Linked DNA regions of Notamacropus eugenii. Each later gene encodes a partner of the first gene's protein in a complex. Links are inferred from orthologs where the notes say so. Each region holds a gene or a part of one and is shown on either strand. Other genes may lie near its edges. The genes, in order: CD40 and CD40LG.

Region 1 (9,213 bases):
AAGGTTCCTCCCATCATTTAATGGAGGCCTAATATTTCTCAGTGTAATGGCAATCCCCTAATCTACATAGTGATCAGGAAATCTGAATCTTGAGGGACACAGATAGAAGAGAAAGGCAGCCTGTCTTGGTTGCTGACATCCAGATCTCACCCATTTGGTCCTGCCCATTTTAAGTATGTGTACCTTATCATTTACTTCAATAAGGGTGGGGTGGGGGCAGAAGAGTGATCATGAGTCTCTCTCTGCCAGTCCCCCTCTCTCTGTATCATTCTCATCATCCTGGGCAAAATAAATCAAATAGTTAAGTGATCAGGTAATCAACTCAGGTTACAAATGTTTTAAAGTTGTCAGGAATTAAAGCCAAATTCACTAGCCTTTCACTTCCTTTTGTGAAAATTGGAACACCTACCTTTCTCCAGTATTCTGGCATCTTTCCTATTCCCTACAGGCACTCAAAGGTTCCTGATAGTGATGCAGCAGTGACATTTTGCAGTTCCTGAAGGAGCCTTGCCAGGCAAGTCAAACCACCAACTCCATCTGGTCTACTACTTTCTTTCACATTCCAGTAGAAACAATCCAGAATCCTGATTCTAAGAGCTTTGGGAAGAGAAGAACCTCTCCCACTCCTAGACCACTGACAGTGCTTTCAGTCCAATCCTTGAGGCCATCATTCATGGGAGCAACTCATGTGGTGAAGGGCCCAGTCATCCTGACCAAAAGCAATCCATAGGGCAGGCAAGCTACTTAGTGGAAGCAATAAAGCCCCCTGGGGGACAGATAGGAAGGTGTGTCATTTGGGTGAATCAAACTATTACTACCATTCCCCCTAGATCCTATAATACCAATGCAATACCCATAGCAGCCTCTATGAATATGCATGTGTATTTCCAGGGTAAATTCACAAAATATAAATAACTCTCTACCTTGAAGGCAAAACCAAAATACTTATTTGGGACATCATTAGAATACCAAGAGGTAAGATTTAACAGGGTACTTATCACTAATCCAGGGATTACCCTGACATCTTAAACGTTCTTTCTGTCAGGTCTCCCCACAAAAACAAGTTCCCCTAGACAAATTCCTCCCTCTGCCCACTCACAGCTTGCTTCTCTCTCTCTGCTCTGCCTGCTCTCACTCTCTGCTCATGCTTGCTCTTTCTCTCCTTCTTGGGCAAGCTCCTCCCAGTCTGAGCTCCATGTAACCACAGATTCCATGTGATCACAGGCTCCATGTGTTAGGCCTATTAATGGGCAGGGAAGATCTTCCTATTCTACGAACATTGCAGACCCACAGACCAAGAGGACTGAGAATAGCAGCACTGCCAGCCTTGCTTCTAACCCAGCCCCTGCAGCTGTCATCTAGGAGATCAAGCATTCTAAAGATGGACCTGGCCTCCACAGGTGCTTCTGCCCTGTCTCCTCTTTGGTCATAGCTATTTAAGAAAGAAGAAAGGAAAGAAATACTTTAAGAAAGCTCTCATCATCAAAGTCCTTAGCATTATGAAATGACTCAGTATCAGAAAGAAGTCTGATTTTTATCAGAGGAAATAAAATTAAAGAAGAGGCATCACCAGCTGCTTTGCTGTTGTACCCTAAAGACCGCTAAGCTTTCCTACCTGACTTACTGCTGAATTCTCCTATATGTACTATTTCTCTCTATTAGAATGTGAACTCCTTAAGAGTAGGGATTGTCCTGTTTTTCTGTTGGAATCAATAGCATTTAACACAGTGCTTTGCATGTAGAAAGCACTTAAATGATTTTTCATTAATTTATTCAGTTATTCTTTTATATAGTTCTTGAGGGCTCTTCCCCTATGACTTAACTCCTCTAGGGCTCTACTCTCTTACTATTTCCTCATTTATCTTTAGCTTTAATATCCTATTAACCAATTACATTTCATCCTTTCCAGTAGAAAAACTATTTTCCTTGATAGAAGAAACAGACACAAAATAAGAGAGATGAGTACTTCTGCTTTCATTCCCTCATCCATCATAAGTTTTCCATCCAACTTGAGTGCTTCTGAGTCTTCTTTCTCCCCAATTTAGCTAATAAAGCTTTTTAAAATTATTCTTAGTATTCATCAACAAATTCAGCTCCATCTTGGACTTTAGCACTCCTAAAATATTCTTAGAGGACCATGCTGCCTTTTTTGAAAAAAGTATTATTCACTGTAATGGAATACTCTTGTACTATAGGAAATGATGAGCAGTTTGATTCCAAAAAAAGCCTGGAAAGACTTACATGAACTTATGCTGAGTGAATTGAGCAGAACCTAAAGACACTGTACCCAGTAACATCAACGTTGTGTGATGATAAGTTATGATAGACTTAGCTCTGCTCAGCAATACAATAATCCAAGACAATTCCAAAAGACTCATGATGGAAAATGCCTTCCACATCCAGAGAAAGAACTATAGAGTTTGAATGCAGATGGAAGCAGACTATTTTCACTTTGTTTTTTTTCATGTTTTTTCCCTTTAGTTTTGTTTCTTCTTTCACAAGAGGACAAAGTTGCTAACATGACTAATGTCTCAGTCCTCATCCATCTTGATCTCTTTGCAGCATTTGATGTTATTGACCACCCTCTCTTTCTGCATATTTTCTCCTCACTGGGTTTTCATGACACCAGGAAAGGGGAAGGCAATAAACAATCATATGGAAACTTCTGTGTATCAGGCACTATGCTAAGTACTTTTAAAAATTATCTCATTTTATCCTTCATCTCTGTAAGGCAAATACTATTATTACCCCCATTTTACAGTTGAGGAAACTCGGGCAAACAGATGTTAAGTAACTCACCAAGAGTCACACAGCTAGTAAGAATCTATTTTAATTGCTCTTCTTTGGCTCTCTTACTTCTTTGATTGTTCCTCTTCAATTTCCTTTGCTACATCATCACCCTTATTACCCTTCCTAACTGTAGGTGCAACCCAAGACTCTGTCTGGCCTTACTTTTTCTTTATACACTCTCTTTTGTGACTTAAATAAACTCCAATGGGTATATCATCATCTCTCTGCAGATGATTCCCAAATCTGTATATCCAGTCCTAGTATCTCTCATCTTGAATCACCAACTAGCTGCCTTTGGATATTTCAAACTGAATGTCCCAGAGGCATATCAAAGTCAACATGTCCCAAACAGATTTGATTACCCTCCCCCTAAGGCCATCCCCTCTTACCAACTTTCTTCTTCCTCTTAAAGGTACAAAGTTCCTACAAGTTATCCAGACTCTCAATCTCTTTTGTTGTTGTTGTGTCCAACTCTTTATGATGCCCTTTGGGATTTTATTGGCACTAGAGTGGTTTGCCATTTCCTTCTCCAGCTCATTTTACAAATGAGGAAACTGAGACAAACAGGATTAAGTGACTTGCCCAGGGTCACACAACTAGGAAGCGTCTGAGGCTGTATTTGAAGTCAGGAAAAAGATTCTTCCTGATTCTAAGCCCAGGGCTCTATTCACAGAGCCACCTAACTGCCTCATTCTCTAAGTCATGCTTAGCTCCTCATTCTCCATCACCTCCCATATCCAGTCAGGTGGCAAGTCCTGTCGGTTCTGCCTCTATAACATCTCTGGCATTTATCTCCACTCTACTCACATAACTACTGCCTTAGCCCAGTGCCTTATTACCTCTCTTCTGGACTATTGTTATAGCTTCCTATTTGGTTTTCCTTTTTCTAGTTTCTTTCTTCTCCACACAGCTGCCAAATTGAATAGTACTAAAACAGGTCTCCAATCATGTCAAGCCCCCTGTTCAATAAACTTCTGTTGGTTCCTTGAAATTTCTAGGACCAAACACAAATTCCCCTGTTTGGCATTTACAGCATGTATTGTAACTCTTTCCTTTCCCAGGCTTATTAAATATTACTTCCTTTCACATCTTCCTTGGTCCAAACTCCCAGGACCTTCTCATGTGTCTCATGACAACATTCCATCTCTAGTCTCTGAACCTTTTCACAGGCCATTCCTTCATTCCCAGAATGTCCTTTCTCCTTATCATCATCTCTTAGCATCCCTCATTCCTTTCAAAGCTCAACCTAAGCACAACATCCTACATGGGACTTTTCCTGATTCCCACTATTGCTGGTGCCTATGCTCCCAATTACCTCATAGTTATTCTGCATCCATATATAATTGATGCACCTAGGTATATATGTACACATATACACACATATGCACATAGCATGTCCCCAGAAGTTGTAGTACAATTTTAAACTTTAATAGCTTCAAAAATATAAATGCTAAACACTTATGGAAATGTAATTGTAAAGTTTACTCCTATTTCTTTGATGCTTATTTAATCTTGTTTAATTTAACTGTGAATTTTAAATTAATTTAATTGTGAATTTTGAGTACAATTTTTTTTAAGTTTAACGAGACGGTGTATGATTTGTGTGTGACAGTTTTTGAATGGCACTTTCTCTGAACATGGGGTGGGCGGGAGTCTCTTTTTGGGCTTGTCTAAAGTCACCAGAAGTCCAGCAGAACCAGGCTTGGATCCCAGATTTTCTAACTCTCACTTGGGGATTCTTGTAGGAGGAATAAGGTTTTACAAGATTTTGAAACCACAGATTTGGGGAGGTGAGGAATAGAGATTTTGTAAACCTGTGTGTAATGCAAAGATCACTGGATTTCAAATGAGATGTTCTGCCTTGGATTTCTTGATCTTAGGCAAAATTCCTTCCCTTCTGGGCTTCTATTTTTTTCCCCTTAAAATGAAGGTGGTAAATACATTTTGCATGCTCTCTGCTACAGAAATATAAACAATGACTATATTCTTGATTGTTAAAAGAAAGTCTGGAGTTGGAACGGGGAGGTGGTGACTACATAATCCTTAAAGTCCCTTAAAACACTCATAATACTAGGAAGAAAGAATGGTGAAATCTATTCTTTATAGCTTCTGAATCTTTCAGTAAGTGTGTATTAACTACCTACTGTGTGTCAGGCATCAGGCTAGGAGGTGAGGGCACAAGGACAAGTCCTTTCTCTTTGAGGAGCAAGTGGGAGTCAGGAAATCTGGCATCAGGCCTAGTCCCGCCGAGGACTCCTGAGTCAAGTTCTCTGTTTTGTAAAATGGCAGTAACTTTGACACTAGGATTGTTAAGTGCTGCTGAAATAATATGAACTATGGTTGGTCTTCCTGTCAGTTTCGGTCTTACAGTTGGGACAGAGAAGCGCTTCTCCCTACCCTCCCAGGTCCCTCATTTAGCCTGGAATTTCCTTAGGAATGAAAGAGAAACTCAGCTTGGGAAACTCCTTTCCTTGCCAACACCCCCGCTCTCCTCTCAAGCTGCATTTCTCCCAGGGGACTTCCTCTAGAAAAGCTGGCAGAGAGCCCAGAGGGCGGGGGGGAACAGACTTTCAGTTCTGTCGGCTCGGTGGACCGTGGTGGGGGTGGAGCAGGGTTGCGCCCCTAACCAGAGGGTCTCCAGGCCCACGGGCGAGTCTCAATTCAGGGCTCTTATAATCCTTGGAGTACAGACAGGATACCTCTTTCCTGCCTTTCCTGCCCTCTGGGATTTCACTACAGGAGTTGGAAGGAAGAGGAGAGAAGCTCAGGGTGCTAGGAAAAGAGTCTTCTCAACTGGATCTCGGAAAACTGTCCTAGCCCAGAATATCCACGGGAAAGACTCAATTGAGGTGCGTCCAGGGGACTCTCCGGGCTTCTAGTTCTCCCGCCAACATCATTAACGATTGACTCGAGGTGGCCAGCCCATGTTATGGGTGGAGCTTCCCTGTGGTGTGTACGGGATTATTAAAACGCCGGCTACGGGTCACTCTCACCTGCCTTGGAGCTCTCATCCAGTCCAGCCATGATCCTGTTCTGTCTGCTGGGGGCCTGCGTTTTCACCGCTGTGAGTTGATTTCCTACCCCTTCATTCCCCTTCTCCTTCCCTGGAGGCCTGGCTGGGATCTAAAACTTGGGATGAGATGGAAAGAAGAGCAGGGCTTTTTGGAGAGGGCTCACCCATCTAGCCATAGTCTGGATCCTAGGGGATCCTGAAAGGTGCTCCCTTTACGCCTCAGTTTCTTCCTCTGTGAAATGAGGATAATAGACTCTCTGAGGTTCCTCCTTCACCAGACCATTTACCAGAACATTTGAGTTACTTTCTTGAGATCAACTAATGAAAGATGGGGAGAAGCTGAAAGTTGAACATAAGGGAGAGAGAGAGGGTAGGGGAAGGGAAATGACCTGGTGGCAGAAGACAACTCTCCTTATTTATGGGGAGTGAGCTGTGGGTCACCCCACTAACTGCCAGACAATAGGTCATTTATCCATGGTCTGCTCCTTGCAGAAAGCTTTAAGGGTCTGAGGAAATCAGTGTCTTAGTAGAGCTGAATCAATTCATCCCACATTCCTTGAGTTTGTATTATGTCCAGTTCAGTCCAGAGTTTTTGTGTGAGTTCTATCACTGACACGTCAAAGAGAAAGAGGGGAGACAGCCTCTCAGTTGGCACAGAACTAGGCCCTGGGAGTCTGTGTTCTGGCTTAAACCCCTGGGACTGGCTGACTAAAGAATTGAGGAGGTTACAGATAGGTTGTATCTAGGCCAGAAAGGAAATGGAATAGAATAGGAAGAGGTGGAATAAGACCAGTTTCCTGTCCCTTTGCTCATATTACAGGATGCTGTTGCATCTGGTAACATGGTCATGGGATCCTCCATAACGTGGGGGGAATCTTATCAGTGCTTCCCTTCTGTGCTCTTTCTGGGGATAGAGGGAAGGATAGATGAAGAGTTGAAACTCCTTAGAGAAGGGGCAGGGGGAGACACAGCAGGCAAGGCTACCACATCTTTATAGGACCCCTGCTCTGGTCGCAGGGGAAATGCCCAGGGAAATACCCTATGATCCCTAACTCAAAGAAATGGACACAATTTGAGGGATGGCATCAGGGGATTAAATTAAACAAATCATTGGGAATTGTTTTTTGAACTGAGAATCCTGGAATGTTTGATTTGAAAGGGGTTCAGAAAACAGAATGCCAAAATTGGAAACAGTAGAATAGAGAATATCAGAACTGGAAGGGATTTTAGAGGGAAGTACAAAATCAGTGGAAGAGATATTAAATTTGGAATCAGACACCCAAGTTCAAATCCCTGATCTGTCTCTTAGAACCTGTGTGACCTTGAGCAATTCATTTCACCCCTCTATCCCTCAATTTCTTCATAAGAATGAAGGGGTTAGACTAGATCTATTTCTAAAATCCATGTCAAATATCTTTGATCCTATGAACATATAATGTCAGAACTGGAAGGACCTGTAGAATACAAAACATCAGAATTTCCTAGTTCTTAGACCACACCATGACAAGGACCTAAGCTTTATGAAATGGTAGAGTTGGAAAGGACCTTAGAGACTGTTTTAGTTCAACTGTTGCAATTGACAAAAGAGGAAACTGGGGCTCAGTGATATGAAGTGACTTGCCCACATTGAATTAGGCAAAGGCTTCTTCCTCTCAACCATACTGTCTCTCAGAGGGGACTTCAGTACTGCCCCAGGATGATGGTGTCTCTCTGAAGCTTTCTCTGTCTCTCTCTCTGTCTCTCTGTCTTTCTCTCTGTCTGTCTCTCTCTCTCTGGCGCGCGTGCGCGCACACACACACACACACACACACACACACACACACACACACACTCTGAAACTCAGAACTGCCCAAGCATATCACTGGGGAATTTATAAAGAGCCACGCCCCTCTCAGTTTTTTGGATAGTTCCTCATTTTGGAGGTTGGGAATTCCCCTTGTACCTGGTCTGCTGTGTTGTGTCCCCCCCCCATAACTTCCCTCCTGTTACGCACCCCATTTCACTCAGTTGGGGGGGAGGGGGGAGTTGTCAGTGAACTGTAAAACTCTAGAGTGAATAAACAAGCCTAGGAGGATTGCTGGGAAGGAGTTGGGTTCCTGATGGGAGAGGAAGGGGAAAGCCACTTCTGCTTCCCTCACTTTCATTTTCACTGAGCACAAAAGTTAAGAGGGCAAATAGAGATATAGAGAACGGAGGATGAAGCCAGAGGTGGAAGAAAGAGCTTTTGTGGAAGGGACCACATGGGGGGAAGAGGCTGGTAGAAAGGTAGTGAAGTGTAGTAGGGTCAGGCTCACTAACCCCTCATTCCAAGTTTTGCCACTGGGCAAGGGCTGAGCTCCCCAAAATAGGGAGAAGAATTCTTTAGCCATGTGCACTTGAGAGTATTTTGTAATAGGTTGGTCACAGGTTCACTGGAGATGGGTTTCTCTTCTATTTTATGATGGAGTTAATGATATTGGTTACTGGACTGAAGAGCACTAGACTTGGAGTCAAAAGTCCCAGATTCTGGGCTCAGATGCAAAACTTGCTAGCTATGTGATCTTAAGTAAATCATGTCCACACTTCAAGCCTCAGTTTGCTCATCTATATAAAAGAGATACTAATACTGGCACTAAAGGGCTTTGCAAAACTGCAAACTGTGAAAGTCCTATGTAACTGTGACCTGTTATTTTAGTGGTAATTCTCCTGTGTTACAGTATAAAGAGCACTGGATTTAGGGTTAGAAAACAGGGGTCCCCATTCTGCTTTTGCTACTTATTATCTATGTGACCTTGGGCAAATTACTGAATTTCTTTGGACTTCAGTTTCTTCTTTGAGTCTCAGTTTCCTCCTCTGTAAATGAAGGAGTTGAATTAAATGATCCCTAAAGTGCCTTCTAACTGGATCTAATGGGGTGTGTGTGTGTGTGTGTGTGTGTGTGTGTGTGTGTGTGTGTGTGTGTGTGTGTGTGTATGTGTAGCTGAAATGACCATTGTATGGTAAGAGCCATAGGCTGTTGTATTTTAGGGGGCCTACTTAGGCTGGAAGGCTTGACTAGCTATTTTCCCATTTGGGGTGCTGTGTACTTTCCTAAATTTCAGAGACTTAGAGTATTACTGAATGGCAGCCTTCCAATCCACTAAAATTCAGGACTATCTGCTTGTATGGGGTTTTTGTCATTGAGGTAATTTTTTAATATTAATTATAGCATGTCTTGAATTTTTTATTTACATTTTCAGTTTCATAAGATAGACATAAAATTCTGTGTTTAGGTCTAAAAACTCACCTATACCAATATAAAATGGGGGATATGGGGCCAGACTCTTGTTCATGAAAATTACCTGGGAGTTTTAGTTGGCTGAAAGCTCGATATGAATCAATAGTATGATTCTGAAACAGGAAAGTCATGTGCATCCCACTTGTTTGCCTGG
Region 2 (9,317 bases), on another chromosome or scaffold:
AGAGCTTCTTAAACTGTAGTTTTTGACCCCATATAGGGTTGAGGGGTGGCAAGTGGAAAAAGTTGAGTCCAATGGTGTCACTCCCAAGTACAATCAGAACCAGATTAAAATGTATTTAGGAAATATTTAACAACATAAGCAAAAATACAATAGAATATAGATAACGTAAACATGTGATTTTTCTAAGTCAGTATGAAGTCTGATACGATCACCCAGGGAATCAAAGAGGCAAGTGTTAGAGCCAGGCTCAGAACCTAGACCTCCTCCTCCAGAATTCTGATCCTTCACAATAAGTTTCCCACATGTGTTTTGCCTTTCTTATGGCATTTTCTTTGTATTCATTTAAAACTTACATTGTTAAATGTGGCAGATTGGAATGAGCCCTGAATTTGGCTGGAGATCTGGGTTTGAATCCCGGCTTTGCCATGTATTAGCTGTGTGGGCAAGTCACTCAATCTTTTTTGGCCCTCAGTTTCCTCATTTGTAAAATGAGGGAGTTGGACTGTAATGGAAAGAGAAGTGGTTTTGGAGTTGGAGGAGCTGAGTTAAAATTCCCAGTTCTGCCATTTATTAGATAGGTGACCCTTGGGTAAGTCATTCAACTTCCATAAAACAAGAGATTGAACCAGGTGGCCCTGAAGGTCCTGCTCATCTCTAGCTCTTATGACCCACATAGACAATAAAATCAGTCATAGTTTACCTTAAGTTGCTTCTGAAAATAGGCTAGAATTTCCGGGCAGTTCAGGTAATTGGTGAAGTCTTTCTGGTTGCATTTCTGTAGCATCTGTAGCATAAAATAGCCCTCTTGCTGATGCATCTCCTTTTCTACCTGGTTGTGGAAGAGCAAAGATGTGAGCCCCATGAGGCTGAGAGTGCATCAGGCAATGATGCTTCAACACCCAGGCCCCCTATCCCCTCCCATGGTGCTTTGAAAGAAAAACGATTGGGGGGGGGGGGGGGGATGACATCTAAAACATGCCAAATAGTGAGTAATGGCACTGAATATCCAACTTTTTAAAAAAATGTAATTAATTTATCTGTTTTCAGTTTTCAACAATCACTTCCATAAGACTTCAGTTTTCTCCCCTTCCCTCTCCCCTCCCTTCCTGAGATGGCATACAATCTTATATGGGCTCTACACATACTGAATATCCAACTTTCAGGGAATTGGAGGTCTCTATTTCCTCACAAGCCAGAAGCAAAGTATCCTGGGATAACTGGCGCACTAGTGGGACCTAGGCAGAAATCACAACCTAACTAAAAACATGATACCCCCAAACCACAATCACAATAATTGTTATATTAAAATCACACTTTAGCATTTGACTATTTGAAAAAGTGTTATTTCATGTGCTTTGCTCACTGTTTAGCAAAGCTTGCGGGCTACGGGGTGCTACATCACATGTACTGGATTGATGTGTTGGGAAATGTTACTAAGAAACTTTTTTTCTTTTTTGACTCTTTGCTACAAAGGATAGCTCACTGGGTAGAAAAGGAAAGGGTGATAGATTAGTAAATGAAAATAATATAAAATAAAATATCATTAAAAATAAAAATTTTTTAAATAAAAATTTTTTAAACTTATTGCTCTTCAATTTACTTAGATTTTCATTCAGAAAGGACCTTAGAAGAGATCTAGTCCCAACCCCTTCATTTCACGGATGAGGAAACTGAGGTCCAGACAGGTTAAGAGATTTGGCTTTGGCTATCCAGCAAGGATAAGAGGCAGAACTTTAGACTCCAAGTCTAATCTTTTCTCCATCACCCCAGCTACCAACAACTTTGGAACTTGATAGAAACTTTTCATCCAAAAATATTGTCACAAGTCCTTGCAATTCATATGCCTCAGGAGATTTCAGTATGTGGAATTTAAGCTGTATAATCCCTTTACTGCAAACCATCGAGGCATTTTAAGACTATTTCATGAATTAGTCATTGTCAAAGACTCCATTCTTGTAGTCATCTTTTGGGTAATGAGTTTCTTTCTTTAGGTTTATCTAAGCTGGTCCTCAGGCAGTAGACAGAGCATATCACCAGGGCTGGACACCAGGCCCAGGGCTTCTCAGCTTGGTAAGACTTGCCAAAGCTTGTACTCCACTAGCAGTGCCTCCAAAGACCCAAGGGTCATCTGCATACCATGATGAGGCATCCAAGGAGAACACTGGCATTTTAGCTATGGGGTTAGACATGGGTGCTAAAGGAAAGCTGGGGCTACACAGGTAAGAGGGGTATTTCACCTCCAGAACCAGTCAAGTGACCAGACACTTGACTGACAAAGGCCAAACCCAAAGCTTCTCTGGCTCTCCTTGTTAACTGGCTATTGAGCCACCAGGATCCTGATCGTTGTATCTAATATTTCTAGGGTCTCCATTATGCCCGCTAGGCTATGGCAATGGCTAGCCTCACAGCCGTGGGGACGACAGATGGACAAATGAAGAATTCATCATTACCCACATGTTCGACTTGTATACTGGTAAAATCCAGATTCTTAGAAGCTTCCATATGAATAATTGTATGGATCATCCCTCTTTCATCGAAATGAGTGGCATCCTCTAGAGCGTGACTTTTTAAACTGTGGGTCATGGTCATACTGAAGGGGTCAAGAGTGGAAAAAATTTAAGAAGCCCTGCCCTAGATATTCCATGTCTCTTGTTAGTGAGAGTGTCTGTGGGAACAAAATGCATCTTCCCTGTTATAATTTTTTAAGAATTCAAATTGACCCGCTCTATTACCCAACTACTTTTGCGTTTCTGAACCTAAGTGTCGAAGGACATGGACCAACCTAAGACGGGCAATGGAGCTTAGTGGGGAGAATGCCGGCTTTTGAAATCAGGAGACCTTTGAGCTCTGTGAATCCCAATTGCACCATCTATAAAGGGGGGATAATCATTGTGGCACTGAGAGGAAGTTTAACCTACAGTGGTCCGATAGTTAGGAAGACTTGAATTCAAGCCCTCTTTATGACACATGCTAGCTGTGTGGCTGTAGGAAAGTTACTTGGCCTTTCAGAGCGCCCCAGGTAACTCTCTTAAGACAATAAATTGCAGAACAGTTGTTAATATGCGGCAGGGGACAACATTCCATGCAAACCATTCCTGATCTGGATGAAATTACAAGTCTAGCCAAAAAAAAAAAAAATCCTGACACTACTTATCTACCATGATTATTGGAAGGAAAGTTCTTTGTAAAGTTGGTTGTGCTACGGAAATCTAAGCTATTTTTCAGAGAAAAAAATCAATTTGCTACCTTATCACAAATGATTCTGCAAAGAATACCTTTTAATTAGTGACAGAATATTCTTGTCCTCTCATGTCTGTGCTAATTGAAAATAGGATGAAATATTCAATTGACACGAGCTTATCCATTGCTAATGAGCTCTTCTATTGTAAATTTCAATTAAAAAAATTCAAAAGTGACTTTTCATCACACGGAACTTTCTGAAAGAGCAAAAATCTGAAGGACAAGAAATCCTTGATGAGGTAACCAAATGTGTAGGGGAAGAATATCATCTCCCTCCAACTTCTCCTCTTTCCCCTCATTTGGGTAGAGTTTGAAGCCCAACGTTAAAACTCAAGATGTCAAGTCAAGAAAAACAAGCAACCCAATTTCATCAAGCCTTGCACTTAGTCTTACCTCATCCAGCCTTCTATGAAGGTAGACACCAAAAAACGCCGTCCCAATAGTCTGAGCAATTACAAAAAGGGTAAGTAAAAACATAAAGATTTTCATGGTGCCCACAGAGATGGTATTCCCAGCCGGGGGAGCAGGTGGGTTGTACGGTTCATTCATGCTTCGGGTGAGTTGAAATGCGATCTTCTGAGAGAGGAGCTTGCAGAAGCAGCATTAGAAGGCTGGTGTACTTGCTACCCTACTCAGGATTAGTTAAGAGCACACAATCATCACAGCCCACACTTCCTGGAAAATGTGCTTCGTGGTGTTCTCTCCCAGTAAAAAAGTTACGTAAAGGGTTGTTTTTTTTTTAATTGCACCCATATCGTTCACTTCCAGGCTTTCCCCCTTTGGGTGGCAAAGAAGAGACGAGTTGCTTCTTCCATCTATTCATTCCTGCCTTGAAACGTTCAAAACCTTAGTAGCCAATGGCAGTATTTTCCTATGGCAAGGCTTGATGGGTCTTGGTTTGCCCGTTTCCAGGAAAATGACAAAGACTGACTAGCTTCAATTTCGGTCTTACTAATGTGTCTCCAGTTTATGGAAAAGAAAATAGGCCTAGGAAAAAAAAGATTGGATTGATTTGACTATCAAGAATGGTCAGCTAATTGCTCCTCACACAGAATCAAGGCTGGTTAGGCTGGAGCTGTCCATCCCAAAGCAAGGCAGAAGACTAGCAATTCTCAGATTCATGTTGGTTTTGTACAGTTCAACACCACCACTACCCAATCCATAGGCCAAGAGAAAGAAGGACTTGAGGTAGTCATCCAAGAGAATTAGACCCAAACTTTGGGATTAAGGAGAATGGAGAAATTTTATTCTGACTTAGCCAAATTCATTATTCACCAGGAGCAAATCCATCAGATAATGACATCTTCACTTTCCATCAACTTTCGCTTGCTAGCAATCCAGAACAAGATCACCTGGTCTGGTCCTGGTTCCATTATTAACTTGACACATGACTTTATGTAAATCACCTTTCCTTTCCTCATCCAAGGAATGGGAACAATGAAAGCCTACCCTGCCCACCCCTCTAGCTCCTGATGAGACTCAAATAAGATAAAACATGTGAATGAACTTTGGATAAAATATTAAGTCCTCTACCAGGGTGGGGAACCCGCATGTGGCCCTAGGTTCTCAGGTTCAACTTTTTGACTGAGTCCAAGTTTTACGGAACAAATCCTTTCATTAGGGGGATTTGTTCGGTGAAGTTTGGATTCAGTTAAAGAGCTGCACCTGAGGCCCTAGAGGGCCACGTGTGACCTCAAAGTCACAGGCTCCCCACCCCTGTCCCATACCAACTCATGAGAGGCAGCATGGTATAGTAGGTAAAACTGGCCTAGGAACCAAGTCGATTTGGGTTGATGTCCTGCCTCTGACACTTATTGGCTGTGTGGCCCTGGGCAAATCACTTAACCTTGTAGTGTTCTAGACTCTAGACTAGACTCTCTAGGTCTCTTAAGTTGGAGAAAAGTCAATACTGACTTGCATTGGAAGAGGGAGTTTTCTCACGAGGGGATTTCCCTATGAAAATGAATTCCCTTGTCCAGGCCCTATTCTCTGTCCAGTCACTTGCTATAAGCTCCTCATTAGATTGGAAACTCCTTAAGTGCAGGCACTATTTCAATTTTTTTTGTCTTTGTAGGCCCAGCACTGTCACAGGACCTGGCACATAGTAGGCACTTTAATATGATTGTTGAATTTAATCGACTTGATCTGACGTTACTCCCATGAATCATCCGGATTTTCTCTAAGCATGACCTGAACTTGCCAAATAAGTGCTAACATTTCACTTCGTAGTGAGACAGACAACCCACTCCCGCACCCCACCCCCCCAAGCCCCAAAAGTATCAGCAGCAAATTACTTAGGTGTCAAGAAATCCACTTTTCTAAATGCTATTTGCATTTTCTTCCCACAAGGCATTCATGGTTAAAGAAACTCTTGAAATGTTCTGTGACAGGCAGCAAGTGTCAAGAGACTCATGTTTGGCCAGAGACCACAATGAAAAGTTTGTTTCTGTAATGAATTCCAAATTGTTTTGAAAGAAAACAATGTCAAATGCAGCAGTGATCAGATATGCACACCACCAGTAGACTCAGCATCAGCTCATCACCACCCACGCTCCAGCATCCTGTCCTCTGTGTGTGTGCGTGTGTGTGCAGCAAATCAGCTCCCAGGCAAATAGCACGATTTTTATCAGAGCTGGACATCTCCTTTCTTCCACAAGGTTGTTTAATTCCACTGAGGGAAGATGCTACATTATGAAATCTACTGGGCTAGACACTGGCTTCCCAGGCCCCTAGGTTTGAGAAGTCAGGATGTTATAATATTAACATTGGCTAGCATGACCAAAGGTCATAGCAGTGAAGAGGGGGAAAAGGAGAAAAGGACAGTGGGTCAGCCTAGGGGCTGAGGCTGGGTTTTTGTAAACCCGTGGAAAGAAACCTTGGGCAGCTTTATAAGGTGTCTCTGACAGCAATGGGAGAGGAAGGGTTTACTTGTCTTTGTGGCTGTCTTGTCATCTCTAATGCAAGGGATAAGGTGTTTTCTTTTTTGTTTCCTTTTCTTAGACTCCAGCCTTGAGCTACAGATTTTTCTTTCCCAGTCTGATGAGAATACTCCAGGAAGTTCTATAACTAGGGTAGGGCAACTGGAATTTTGTCCTAGGGCAAGGGAAATTTAGAGGGTGCTAAAAGCACTTGGAGTCCTTCAGCATCTAGAAACAACTGAGCCTAACACCTAGTTAACAGTAATGGTTAGTTCAATAAGGAAGCCATTAGATGATCCCTCCCTCTCTGGTGGCCAGTGGCCACACTCCAAGTGAATTGTCCAGTGTCTTGGGATCTCTTTGTTCCATGTACAAAAATGTCCAGTCCTAGCACTGATTCCAGGTCCTTTATCACCATCTGGCTCAGGCAAAAATCTTTTACTGTAGTGGGAGGGAGGAGTACAGTGGGAAGAGTGCTGACTTCAGGGTCAGAGGACCTGGGTTCCAATTCCACCTCTGATACTTACTATTTGTCCCACCTTGGGTAAGTCAACTAGCTTCTGTGGGCACCAGTTTCTTTATATGTAAAAACAAAAACAACAACAAAAAAACCCCAAAAGGATTGTATTAGATGGCCTTCCAGCTCTAGATCTGTGATCCCAAGAATTTGAGGGCACAAATTCTATATAGGTAGGTATTCAGCTTGGGGTATAAGACTGGTTATTACCACTTTAGTCTGCTTCACCCCCCAGGATCGCTGTCTTCTCCCTGGTCTGTGCAGAACCTCAATTCTTTCTTGTTGGACTTGGGGGCATAACCCTGCTTCCCATGGCTGCCAGAAGCCCAAGCTAGCTGCTTCTCTAGGTTCTACATCCAGACATCCTTCAAGACAAGCCACTCTAGCTTGGACCGTTGTCCATGAGGGACTATTCTCTTCACTGTCTCCCATTGACTAAGTTCTAACAGCCTTTTCAACAAAACGACAACAACTCATACCGGTCTTCTCCTTGATTAAACTCTTTGTCTTCTGTTCCTTCTTGGAGTCTCACTACCTACCAGGTTCTGCCTCCAACAACTCTTGGCTTGTTACCAAATCAGTGTCTTCAAAATTCACATTTGTCTTACCAGGCATTGAGCTAGGAATAAAGACAATTCATTCCTTGTTAGAAGTTTTCCCACTGTAGATGTGGTTGTCCTGGGACAAAGTCCTGATCACTCTCCTCTAGCTTTGGGAGGGAGACAGACAAAAGAACTCTTGACCTAAGAGTTTTGAGACTTGGGTAATTTTAGTCCCAGCTCTACTGAAAAGTTAGCCATTTTCACACCTGTAAAATGATGGATATTGGACTAAGTCTTTATCATAGTGGGGAAAGAGCTGAGGCTGGAGTCAAAGGAGCTGGATTCAAATTCTGCCTCTGCTACTTGCTATCTGCATGACCTTAGATAAGTCACTTACCTTTCTTGGGCCTCAATTTCCTCATCTATAAAAAAATCAGCGGCTTGGATTAGATGGGCCCTGAGATCCCTTCCAGCTCTGGAGCTGGAATACTATGGGCACCAAGATCTGATTCCAGATCTAATGTTCAATAATGATCATATTAACAAATACATATATAATGGATCTTGAGCTCAAATGGACCTAAGAGACCATCTAATCCATTCCCTTCATTTGGGGTCGTTACCCACAGTTTAAGAAGTGCTGAAGGAGTCTCTAGTGGAAAAAGTTTAAGAAGCCCTATGATGGATGACAAAACTGAGGCCCAGGGAAGGGAATTGATTGGCCCAGGGCCTCACCATAGGATCGATGATTTAGAGCTGGAAAGGATCTCAGAAGCCCTCTAGTTCATTTTAAAGAGAGGGGAGATAACTGAGGCCTAGAAAGGGTATGTGACTTGCTCTGGGTCACAGAACAGTCAGGTGGCATTTCTTCTGGAACTCCAAATCCAATCCTCTTTCTAGACTATGCCATGCTGCCTTGAAATATGGATATAGCTCCAGGCCTTAATGCTGGGCCTGGAGTCAGGAAGATGTAAGTTGAAATCTAGCCTCAGACACTTACTAGCTATATGACCCCGGGCAAGTCCCTTCACCTCTAAATGTCTCAGTTTCCTCATCTGTAAAATGGGGCTCATAATAGTATCTAGCTCCCAGGGTTGTTGTGAGGATCGAATGAGAAAGCAATTGTAAAGTGCTAAGCACAGTGCCTGGCATATAGTAAACATAATACAAATATTAGCTTTTCTCCTTATTATTATATAATGTGGAGATCTCTATTATACTTCCACAAATCAAAGGTGCAAGGGGAAGGAGGGACTGGCCACTCCTTGGAAGCACTCTCCTTCCTTCTAGTCCCCCCAGAATTCTCAGAGGACGTTCTTCTGCCATCTGCTGGCTGCCATCCTTTGCATGGCTCAAGACCTCTGACATGAATCAGCTCACACCTACAGATGTGAGCTATGACTATATTAGCACTTCCTTCCCCAGGCCGACCTCAATTCATTAAACTGGGGGCTGCTGGGTCCAGTCTGGGCTCCTGACTCAGCAAATGCAGCAAACTGTTCTCCACCATTGTTTACATGGACATAATAGATGTCTGGTGGAGGTGGGAGAGGAGAAATTTCTTTACAGAAAGGAAAAGGAGACAAGGATGGTTTAAAGTCTGTGATCAGAGCTTGAATCTGACTAGACTAGTCTTTCACTGCACCAATCACCCAGACAGTGCAGGGAGAAAGGCAGTCCCAGCTCTGCCACTGAGTCACCTTCCCTCCCTGGGCTTCAGCATCTTACTCTGTGAAGGGATGGGGTTGGACTAGACCAGGGCTTCTTAAACTTTTTTGAGACCCCTTTTTGTGTTTAAATAGCATTGGTTGGCATTACATAGCCTGAGGACACAGTGCACAGTACATATGCTTTATGTTCAGAACCAAGTGCTGCCAGAAACATCTCCGATTCATTACATGCTTGATTTTTATTTAATTTTTTGGTTGTTCCATCTTTGGAAACCTTTTACTGTTGCCAAATTTTCCGGGTTGCAACCCACAGTTTAAAAAACACTGGACTAGAGGATCTCAAAACTCCCTTTGAAGTCTACTAAAGCTAAGTTCCTGTGACCTTCAGTAAGGAAACGCTCCAATGGGGTTTGTCCCAAAGGAATGAAGA

The links.
Region 2: the proteins of CD40 (region 1) and CD40LG are in contact, whole or in part, in a crystal structure (PDB 3QD6), measured with the Homo sapiens proteins. The link is inferred for Notamacropus eugenii from reciprocal best matches to the Homo sapiens genes CD40 and CD40LG. Residues at the interface, in NP_001241.1 of Homo sapiens: Glu64, Ser65, Glu66, His76, Cys77, Gln79, Tyr82, Asp84, Asn86, Leu87, Trp109, Cys119; in NP_000065.1 of Homo sapiens: Ile127, Glu129, Ala130, Lys143, Gly144, Tyr145, Tyr146, Cys178, Pro217, Cys218, Gln220, Ser245, Gln246, Ser248, His249, Gly250, Thr251, Gly252.

What each region holds. Positions count from the first base shown.
Region 1 is NC_092872.1:475,711,677-475,720,889, forward strand, and holds the start of CD40 (tumor necrosis factor receptor superfamily member 5), read left to right. Parts: upstream 1-5,203; 5' UTR 5,204-5,812; coding exon 5,813-5,854; intron 5,855-9,213.
Region 2 is NC_092879.1:57,943,588-57,952,904, reverse strand, and holds the start of CD40LG (CD40 ligand), read right to left. Parts: upstream 3,896-9,317; 5' UTR 3,790-3,895; coding exon 3,634-3,789; intron 830-3,633; coding exon 701-829; intron 1-700. UniProt on the Homo sapiens protein: Cytokine that acts as a ligand to CD40/TNFRSF5. Costimulates T-cell proliferation and cytokine production.